2 linked regions of the Arabidopsis thaliana genome follow. The protein of the gene in region 1 purifies or fractionates together with the protein of each later gene. This does not show direct contact. Each region holds a gene or a part of one and is shown on either strand. Other genes may lie near its edges.

Evidence for each region.
Region 2: the proteins of RIN4 (region 1) and ERD4 purify together in Arabidopsis thaliana (affinity purification with mass spectrometry, with the first as the bait; one study listed by BioGRID). This does not show direct contact.

The regions. Positions count from the first base shown.
Region 1 is NC_003074.8:9,130,341-9,134,699, reverse strand, and holds RIN4 (RPM1 interacting protein 4), read right to left. Parts: upstream 2,563-4,359; 5' UTR 2,243-2,562; coding exon of another isoform or gene 2,237-2,242; 5' UTR 1,810-2,236; coding exon 1,348-1,809; intron 1,270-1,347; coding exon 1,087-1,269; intron 983-1,086; coding exon 953-982; 3' UTR 612-952; downstream 1-611.
Region 2 is NC_003070.9:10,713,556-10,719,631, reverse strand, and holds ERD4 (Early-responsive to dehydration stress protein (ERD4)), read right to left. Parts: upstream 4,151-6,076; 5' UTR 3,741-4,150; coding exon 3,470-3,740; intron 3,099-3,469; coding exon 2,941-3,098; intron 2,847-2,940; coding exon 2,571-2,846; intron 2,474-2,570; coding exon 1,644-2,473; intron 1,561-1,643; coding exon 1,305-1,560; intron 1,217-1,304; coding exon 833-1,216; 3' UTR 635-832; downstream 1-634. Other genes in the region: DLAH (alpha/beta-Hydrolases superfamily protein), read left to right, coding at 1-463. UniProt on the Arabidopsis thaliana protein: Acts as a hyperosmolarity-gated non-selective cation channel that permeates Ca(2+) ions. Mechanosensitive ion channel that converts mechanical stimuli into a flow of ions: activated in response to membrane stretch. Not activated in response to membrane poke.

The sequences.
Region 1 (4,359 bases):
GGTTATTTTTAGATTTTTTTTTTTAATTCTTAAGACTTAGAAGATATTTTAGATTTTGACAAAAATCTCACAATACCGCCTAAAAAAACGAATGGAATGGTGATAGAGACAACCGAGATTAGTTGTTTTGAATTCGCGATGTTTTATTATTTTATTTTCGTCATTACTCCTACTATTTTAGTATATGTTACTATTTTAGACTTTTAGTTAGATTTAAATATTTAATTACTTTATTATTATTGTTAGACCATGGTATAATTATTTTTATATTTATATTTATACAAACTAATAATTTCTATAATATTAAATAAATTTTAATCAATTGATCCGTGGTCGAATCCGGTTGATCCATTGACCCCGTGACCTAAAAAGTAGTCTAGTTCACCATCCAGGTCGGGTTTAAAAAGATTGCATTTAAGTCTAATTATTGGGCATAGAGAATGCTGAAATAGTAAGTACATAAAGCTGGAGAATCAAACCTGATTACACTGTACAAAGCCATATAGGAAACAAGTGTCAATTCGTTCTTCTTTGATGTCCATATCATATGGACCATACGAGTCATCATCCTCCAAAGATCTTAATCTTGATTTTATATAAAAAGTTATGGGTCTTTCTTTATAGTGGTGCAGAGTTAAGGCTTTGAACATTAGAAACAACAAACTTGGAGGTACCCAAATATCTCTGATTCATATCAAATCAGTTACCAAATCACTCAGGCCGTACCAAGCAAGATATAATGCATCTGCAAGCAGATCCGAAACTGGAATGTGTCTTATGAAAACACCAAAAGTATTAAGGAAGAATTGCAAAATATACATACAAAAATTATACTATAAAAATCTTATGCAAGTGAGACTTATGCCTTATTTCATCTAAAGAAGCACGAATGTCTAATCATCAAGATTACACACTGATTTCTCGATAACTATATACAATCTTCCGGTCCCTTTCATTTTCCTCCAAAGCCAAAGCAGCAACACTGTCAAATTGCACAAGACAAACCAATGTTCAACACACACTCACTATTTGAATACGTATTCACTAATGATTATACTTGAAAATGAGTTTTAAAGAATGTCTTACTGAGGAAGTGTTGTTCGGGTTACGGGAGCTTTGATGAGTCGGCGTTCTTGAAGATCCACTCACATTTGCTCCAGAACTTCTCTCTTCACGGACTTTATTGAAGATATGCGTGTATCCGTCAGCTGATGACGGGTTGTTCTCGTCCCAGTCACCGAATTTAGGCACCACTGTGACTTTTTCAGGCTATATATAAACAGATGACAACACATAAGCAACAAACAGAGATATTCTCACTTTAGAGGTTAAAAGTGAGATTCTTACACTTTCATCAGCTCTAAGGTTGGTAGGTTTAGGCCTAGATTTTCCAGTACCATCATAAGAATTCTTATGCAAAGGTGACTTGTTGTCATAACTATTGTTCTGAGAAGCTCTTCCTTGTCTTTTGTTAGCAGCTTCATTTGATGAACCACCAGCATCACCAAACTGTTTCAACTCGCTCTCTTCTCGGCTTCTCATATGCTCACGTGATCTTCTAACCGTGTCAACTTGCTCAGGTTTGGTTCTGGAAGAAGGAGGATGAGGAGGAGCTTGTGATTGAGAGTCAGAGTTATACTCCGGGTCATTCGGGTTCATGATCTTGCTACCGGGTGCTCGAGTCTTACGAGCTTTGTCAAAGTAAGCTGTGTAAGGAACATTCTCCTCAGCTTCCCAGTTTCCAAATTTTGGTACATTCGAACGCTGTTGCAACAAACAATTCAACAACAATGTCCTTCCACAAAACATTCAATAACATAACATCCTAAAGAACAATCATCACAGAAACAAGATAGCAAATTCACTTAAGAATCCAAAACAGAACAAATACAAATTGGGTTTATCGATTTCGACCAAGTACAATGATAAAGTTGAAATCTTTGCTAAGCAAAAATAGAAACTTTACCATAAAAATAGTAACTTTCATAAAACCCTTTTCTTATCTAAAGCAAATCAGAATCATAAAGTTGAATACTAATAGACATCGCAATCCATAGAAATGTTATCTCAATAGGAAGAACCATAAATGCAAATAGATTAAGACTCAACTTTCTACAAATCCTCCAAAAAAAGGGTCAGAGATTGACGGAATCGAAACAAAAACTATAATCTGAGAGAAAGCTCTAGACCTAAATAAGAAGAAGAGGAGAAGGAAAGAAGGAAAGAAAACACTTACTGCCATGGGAGAGAGGTAGCTAAAGAATTGAAGTCTGAAGCTTTTGTTAGGTTTGAGAGAGAAAGACAGAGAGAGATGTGAGAAGGAGAGGAGACGAAGAAGAAGTTTTATAAAAGCGTTGACTAGTGGTGATGCTATGTATTCTTTGACCCTTCCTCTCCTCTCTCTAATCTTCTCTTCTCTCTTTGTCTCACTCCAAACTCTATTAATTTCATTTCTTAACTCTATTACTAAATTTTCATGTATTGTCAAGAGCACTCAAACGCCGTTACCGTTACCGTCACCGTTAAAGGCGGCTTTATTTTGGTGTCCATGTTACATTGTTTTCCTCTTAAAAGATTGTAATAAATATTTTTGTCCTAAAGAATTGGATATGTGGGTCGGAAGCAACTTTTGGTGGAATCTTCTGCTCTAGTAGATAAGTTTTGTGGATCTAATAATTATATGCTAATAGAATAATTTGATTATTGATAGCAACAATGTTACAATGTTATAGCAGAATTTAGTGAATTATTGATCTTGGATTTTAGCGGATTAATGAGTAGTAATAACTGAAATTTCTTTTGGTGACGATTGGTACCAATTCGTCTATAGATAGGTTACCATTTGAATCAACTACTTGCAATTTTTGTGATACAAATAGTACAATAACTATTTTTACAAATATCGCCATTTAACGCTAGTACGTATACTTTTATTATTTACACTCATAGTTTTTTTTAGAGAAAACTTAAAAGTGTTTTGTGAAGAGTACTACAAAGTGATAGTAAGTAAATAAAAAGTGTTCTACGAGTACAAGGAAAAAAAAAAGGCAGTATGAACAAAATAGTTAGAAAACTAGAAATGAGAAAGTTATCATCAAAGGTGGTTGACCACAACTACCTAATCTCTTTTTGATCTTAGTTGATGTTTAAGGTTTTAGCACACTAATCAAGAAACTAATTAAATGATCAATTGTTTCTTGGTTTTCACATTAAAACATCATTTATAAAACTCAACAAAATTATTCAACCAATAACAAAAGAAAGAATTGAAAATGTTTATGAGAAATTGAGAATATTAACTTCTGAAAAGAAAAAGAAAATAATCATATGGAGACTTTTTGTGTTAGCAAAGTCAAAGCTGCCTCTTTACACTGAAAGACCCTTTTGAGAATTTACGTACCTCTTTCTTCCAAGAACAAATAACATGTCTCGTAGCATCTATTATCGAATCACCAATGACAATAAGATGTTCACTAAAAACCATAATTGGAACATTATTTTAGTAATTTTTTACTAGACAAAGTTGAAAAATGGAAAGTATTCAGCGTTGTTCACATCAATTTATTTGTGGTTGCCGTAGCGATAATTATTCAATGCTCCCGTACTCATACACACGTGAACTATATAGTCCACACGTACAAGTGTTTTCACATGGTTAATGCCTTAATGGGAATATTTTAGAGATTGTTCACGAAAAAATAAGAAAGATCAAATCAAAGAAGACAGATCGTTCAGCTTCATCAGTTTCTCAACGTGAGTGTGTCTTTTTATTTTTTGTAGTCAAGTGATATGGTTAGTTAAGACTAAAGACAACTAAGAGATCGTGTGCATTCTTAATTCTTTTGGTGTTATTTAGTTTTGGAGCGTTACTCTATTTTTGGGACATACAACAATCCACCCCAAATCAAGTTTATTTTATATAAATTGGTCCACGACGGATTTCTTCTATTTGTCTCAATCCATACTCTTACGGACTATAATATATAAAATGGTTCAATCCGCAAACGAATTTGTCCGCCACAACCATACAAACCAGTGTCACAAAGCCACAAAGGTAAGGGTTTCTCAATACATTATTTAAGGGGTTTATCACTCTCTTAGTCTCTTTAATAAGTCTCAATTCTTAAGTCTCTTTCACATTTGTCAATTAACTTGAATTTGCACTTTGGTACTCTGCTTTTCTCAAAGGGACCAAGAACCTCTTGGTATTTTCTTCTCACTAAAATTGAAATTGACCCGGTTTGGTTTTCTTGTTCAACGCGTGGAATGTATTGTTAGAGTTTTTGACTAAAACCTCACTCCAAAATAGGGCCACATGAGTCAGAAATGGATGTATATATACATACTGAAATAAGAATG
Region 2 (6,076 bases), on another chromosome or scaffold:
TAAGGTGTTACGTGTGGTGAACAAGCAAGACATTGTACCTAAGCTACCTGGTATCGTGTTCAACAAGGTACTTAACAAACTTAATCCGATAACTTCAAGGCTCAATTGGGTCTACAGGCATGTCGGAACGCAGCTTAAACTCGATGTCTTCAGTTCGCCTTACGTAAAACGTGATTCAGACTTAGGGAGGGCTCATAATCTAGAGGTGTATCTCCATGTTTTGGATGGCTTCCACCGCAAGAAATCTGGGTTTAGGGTTAACGCTAGGAGAGACGTTGCTTCGGTGAACAAGAGCACAGATATGTTGTTGGATCATCTAAGAATACCTGAGTTTTGGTACCAAGTGGCACATAAGGGTCTGATCCTTAACAAACAGACTGGCCGGTGGGTGAAGCCTGTCCGTGCACCTGAAGACATTCCCTCTCCGTTACCGACCGGACCAAAACCTATTTATAGCTTATGAGAAATAAATTTATTTTCCATTCCATTCATTCGTTTTCTTGAATCTTTAGTCCTTGTGAATTTTGGTTACAACATTTCAGTTCAATGAATATAGATCAAGCTGTGACAATAATGTATATATGTTTGAAACTACTTTAAATACAATTTGCATCAGCTAAAGAAATCAGAACATCAGAGTAGAAGAATATTAATGATGAAAAATCAAGTTGATGTTTAAAAGTAGCTTACAAAGTTACAAGTTACAACAACCATGGAACACATACAAAGAAGAATCCTAAACAAACCCTAAAATTCACACACATAACAATAAAAGCTTCTAAAAAACCAGCAAAACAAATCTATGAGATAATTTGGGGATTGGATTCAAATTTTAAACGCCTGCTATTGCGTTGAAATCTTGATAACGAGACATTGCGCCTTTGAACTCGTGTTCTTCTGGTTTGTGAGAGCTCAAGCTATGCGGAATGTATGCTCTGAAAATCTCCTCTAGGTCTGGACTCTGCTTCAGCTCACGGCAAGCTACCTCGAGAGCTGTGTGTTCGAACCCTCCGTAGAATTTCTGGCGGCACACATATCCGAAGATGAGAGAGGTGATAATGAGAGGGATCACAAGGGCCGTGTAGAAGAATGTCTTGGCTCCTAAGTAGCCAAACATTACCACTTGGAATAGAAACAACGCTGCTAGTATGCGCTGGTGAATATGCGGCCACATTCTTCCATAGCTCTCGTATGATGGAACGTACACTTTCAACGCCTGTCATACCCCGAAATAAAACAGTTCAAGATCACATTTTTGATAACCTAAGTGTTTATGGGTATAGTAAATAGAGAGAAAGTCTGACCTGATTCCTGAGGACTAGCCAGCCTAAACCAAAGTAGGTGATGCCGAATATGAGGATAAGAGGAGCAATGACTGAATAGCAGAACGTGATTGTGAGGATGAGCATGTCTCCGGGAACCCTAGTCGCATAGCTTAAGTCTCCCGGGTACCAAGCTTCTTTGACCTCCGCTTCGGTTTTGCAGAGATACTTCTTTTTCAGGTGGAAGATTATCAAAGGTATGATCCGAGACAGCTCAAGGCCATAACCGATAAAGAACCTGAAAAAAAATCATCAACATAAGATTTAGGGAACAAACGAACAATACATATGCTATTTAAGTCAAGAAGACCAAAATCTCACTTGAGAGCAACGTAGGTCAGGAAGAAAGTTGCGCTCTTAGGGAGGCTAGTAGCCAAAAGGTTAATAATCATGTCGAGTTTGGGATTTTTCGCGATATCCTTCACTGTGTTGAACAAAGTCCCAGCAAGGGTAACACCAATGAAGACATTAAAGACCGAGAAGTAAAAGTACTTCCCTGAAGCAGCCCTAATGGCATGGCTCTGTGAAGGAATCCCCTCGGCTTTGGAGAGAAACAAGAGAAGCTTCGGCAACATGGCCAAGAAAACAATGAGCGCAATCTGAGGAAGGAAAGACTCCAAAACGGTTCTTATGGCGGTTATCTCCACAACCGGCTTTATGAACGGAATAATCCTCTGAAGATTCTTAAGAGTGGTGATGGCAGAGACGAACGCGATTGGTATCATGTAAAACAGAATGGTCACTGCAACAAAGAAGTAGATGAAGTATTGCCGGATTATTCTGCTGAAGAGCTTGATGTTGAGATTCTGCCATAGGAGCTGCCGTGGCTCAGGAGCTTCGGTCACAGTCCATTTATCAACCATCTGGCAGTGCAGAGACTGAGCTGCTGATGCAGCAGCAACCCTGGTTGTGAAGAAAACCACTGCTGCGGTTTGCTGCTTCTCAGCAAGAACCGCTTTCTGCTCTGTTTCCAGTTTGGCTACAGACTCGTTGATTAGCTCAGTGTAATACTCAATGCTGTCTACTTGTTTACCGACTAGCCCACAGAAGCCGGTTTTGTTCGTGGGACGGTTATTAGTTGCTGCTAATATTGCTTCTGCTCGCGCAAGCTTCTTCTTGTAACCTTCCAATTTTTCCCATATTTTATTAACCTATACAACACAACAAAGAGCAAAGGTTAACATATTAACATTATGATGCCTAAAACCTTAAAACATATGACTTTCTTAGGCCAGAACAAGTAGATACCTTGCTGTTTTCTGTTGCGACAAGCGATCTGTAGAATGTCTCAGGGTATATTTCTCTGAAATAAGAATCAATAAACTCTTTCTGTGTCTGCCCGTCAGGTGGTGCAGGCATATCCCTAACAAGAATAGCGAATTGCTCGGGTTTTACATCAGCAGACATCAGAGCTTGAGCTCTCAATGAAGAGACATGCTTATAAGCTTTCCACAAGAAGAAATATGTGACCAAAGATATCCAGTAAACAGCTCCTAGGAACGCCCACAGCCTCGAACTTTTTTTCTGTTCAAATGAAAGGATACACATTTTGCTTTAGACTATCAAAAACTGAAAATGAATCAATAGGCAGAATGGAGTTATTGTTGTGTTTACTTACTGTGATGTTAGCCATTGATAGATTATCAAGTTGGCTAAAAGTTCCTTTGCTTGTGGTATCTGTCGCATTCTTTGTGTTCTTTATGTTGTTGTCTGTAGCGGCTAGAGGCAGTAGAGTTGGTAGGAGAAGAAGACTGGAACAAGCAAATATCCCCAGAACTGCATCAAACAAAAGCCAATTTTCAAGACATCATAAACACTTTACCTTCACCAAAATCACTGGCTCGTATATATAGACTTCAAAAAGTTCTATCTACTGATTCTAATTTCAATCACCAATGTCTAAAAGTAAAACAGAGATAACATAACATAGCAAACAAAATAGTCAGAGCCAGCAATTTACAAACAAAAAAGTTTCCATTTTGAAACGTTTTTTCCCCCAATTGTCTCTAAAGATCGAAACTTTATTAGGTTAAATCTCAAACCCAAATCAAAACCAACAGAAATCAGCAGAATTCCACCAAACCCTTGAATTGGAACCACTAAAGTAACAGAGAACAGAGATGAACAGAGAGAGATTGAGATCGAACCAGTGCTCAAGAAGACAAAGTGGACAGCAGTATCGACGCCGGATAAGTTAACGACATCTTGTTCAGAGGAAGTCAAAGCTTCACGCATCCAAGCAAAAGGGTTTCGAGTCAAGGAGGTGCCTTCCCATGGCTCCAGCCCTTTAAGGATCCGATTCGGGTAATAAATGGGAGCATTTCCAGATTTGCGAGAAAGCCAGGTGAAGAGAAGCATGAGAATGACGAAGATAACAAAAGATGTCCCTAAGGACACAAGAAAAGATCCAAACTCCATCTGGGTTTAGCCAGAGGAATCTCTCAAGCTCTCTGTTTCTTTCTAAATCTTCTCAAGTTCTCTAAAGTAGCCGTTTTTAAAGGGGTACAACAAAAGAAGGAAAGTAACAGTTTATATTGTCTTCTGGTAATTACAGGTGAGAGAAGACAGGCTTTTTCTTTTGTCACTTTATTGGTGTATTCACAGAAAAAGAAAGGAAGATATTTTTCTATTGTTTGTTTAATCTCTTTGTGGAATTGTGTAACGGAGGAGACTGGAAAAATTGAATATTGTGGAATTGATTAAATGGTGGGAGAAGGAGAAGGAGAGGTGTGTGAGAAGAGAGTGAAGAGCGTGTTTAAGTGACAAGGCCGACAGGTGTTGATGATAGAGACACCAAAGGAGATGGATTTTTTAACCCTACTTCAGGGTCCTCCTCCTCCTCTCTTTACCCATTTTGTTCCCTTTTTTATACGTTTTTATTTTATTGTATAATAAATTATTCTTTGGATTTTTCTCTTTTTGTGCTTTTGAAGTTTCTTCTATTCCCTTCTATTTTCTAGGTTTGTTTCAAAAAAGTACTCGTAAACCTTATTTACTACTACTTAGAGATCTTTGATCAGTATGACATGTTTAATGTATCTCTTAATATTTGGAAAAACATATGGTAAGAAATTACCTTTATTTCGCAAATATTTACGGTTATGGTGACATATCAATCATATAACAATTTAAGTTCAAAAAAATACTTGTATTACTATATAAATCAAAGCATATTTTGATTTAAACTAGTAATTTCATCTGAAATCCGGTTTTTCAAATAATATATGTTTTCATCCTTTTACTTAATAGACATCTTTATAAAATATATGATAGTATATTAAATTTACATAATTTGAATAACTCATAAACAATTTGCGAAATAGGTTCGTTTATGTCGAAGTTGAATATTGACTGTGTCGTAAGTAATGTGGTGGAAAAGCATTCTTGATGATATGCGTCATTTTACTCTAGTGGAGACGACCCTTGAAACAAATATATGCATCTGATTTTACACAAAAGCCTACGAAACACATCAAGATCGAATGTTATTTTGTATGTGATCAAATTCAATCAGAGGTAATAGCAACCAACCACATCTCATCAGACTCCTCTACGTTTCTTTGAATTCTAAGATTAGAAAGAGTTCAATTTCTTCTTTGAGATGTGGAGCATTCGTGATTCCATGCTTTAACTTGAACGGATATTTGAATTCTAATCTCATAACTTGTCCACTCAACAGAAACAAAACAATTTTTTCTTCTTTTTTCCTTGGTTTTTTTTTCCTTAGTTTTGTTGACTGCTTGTAGGGAATACCAGTTATTTGGGTACTCTAATTCATATTTTTATTTCCTCCAATATCAATATTCCTCTATATTCATTCTTCTTTTACTCTAAATATTCCACCAATCACACATTATTTTATTTGTATTTTATTATAAGCATTCACCAGTCACATGCACTTTATATGTTTGTATAGTTTACGTAAGAAAAAATTGTCTTGTACGTGTGTAGAATAAAAATTACGGGGATCCACACAAAAAAAAAACTTTTATGCAGTTTCAACAAGTTTTGAAATATAAAACCAAAAAAAAAGAACTAAAAACAATCGAAAGACGTCCACGACATGCTGTATTTATGTTTTACCTCATTCTATTGTTTTAAATTTTAATACTAGTGTATATCTCTTCGCCATATTTTAATCAGAAGATAAATAAATTATTGGTTTTCTTTTTTTATACAAAGAAAATTTATTGTTTTGTTTGGTGTGTTTCCATGCATGACCAGTCATGTAATATTGGTCCAATACCGGTCCTTAATTCCTTTTATGTCGATCGGGTAAAATCCACAATAGATAGATCGAAAATATATGTTATTTTTGGCATCCAACTGAATTAAATAGATAACACAAGTCACTGGACAAAACAGTAGATTTCCACTGAGACAAACCATTAATTTGGGAGAATAAATTCATAAATCTATATATAATTTATGCGAATGTGATAAAAGTTGTTATTCACAAGACAAAAGAGACCCCAAAACAAAACAAAAAGCCGTTGTCCAGTTGTTAATGCCACCTCGACGTAAAACTTCATTGCCGACACCGAAAAAAAGCTTGAAAGGGTCCCAAACCTTATCTTTATTATATGTCGATCGAAGACCCTAAAGTCTTATCTACAATGATATTTCTGTTAGTATTTGTTATTTGAAAGTAACGCCGTTCACAGATTTGGTTAGGTGGCTATTGATCCGGTCCAAAGCCCTTTTGCTGATATTTATTTCTCTTCTATTTTCACGTCGACATGTACACATACAAA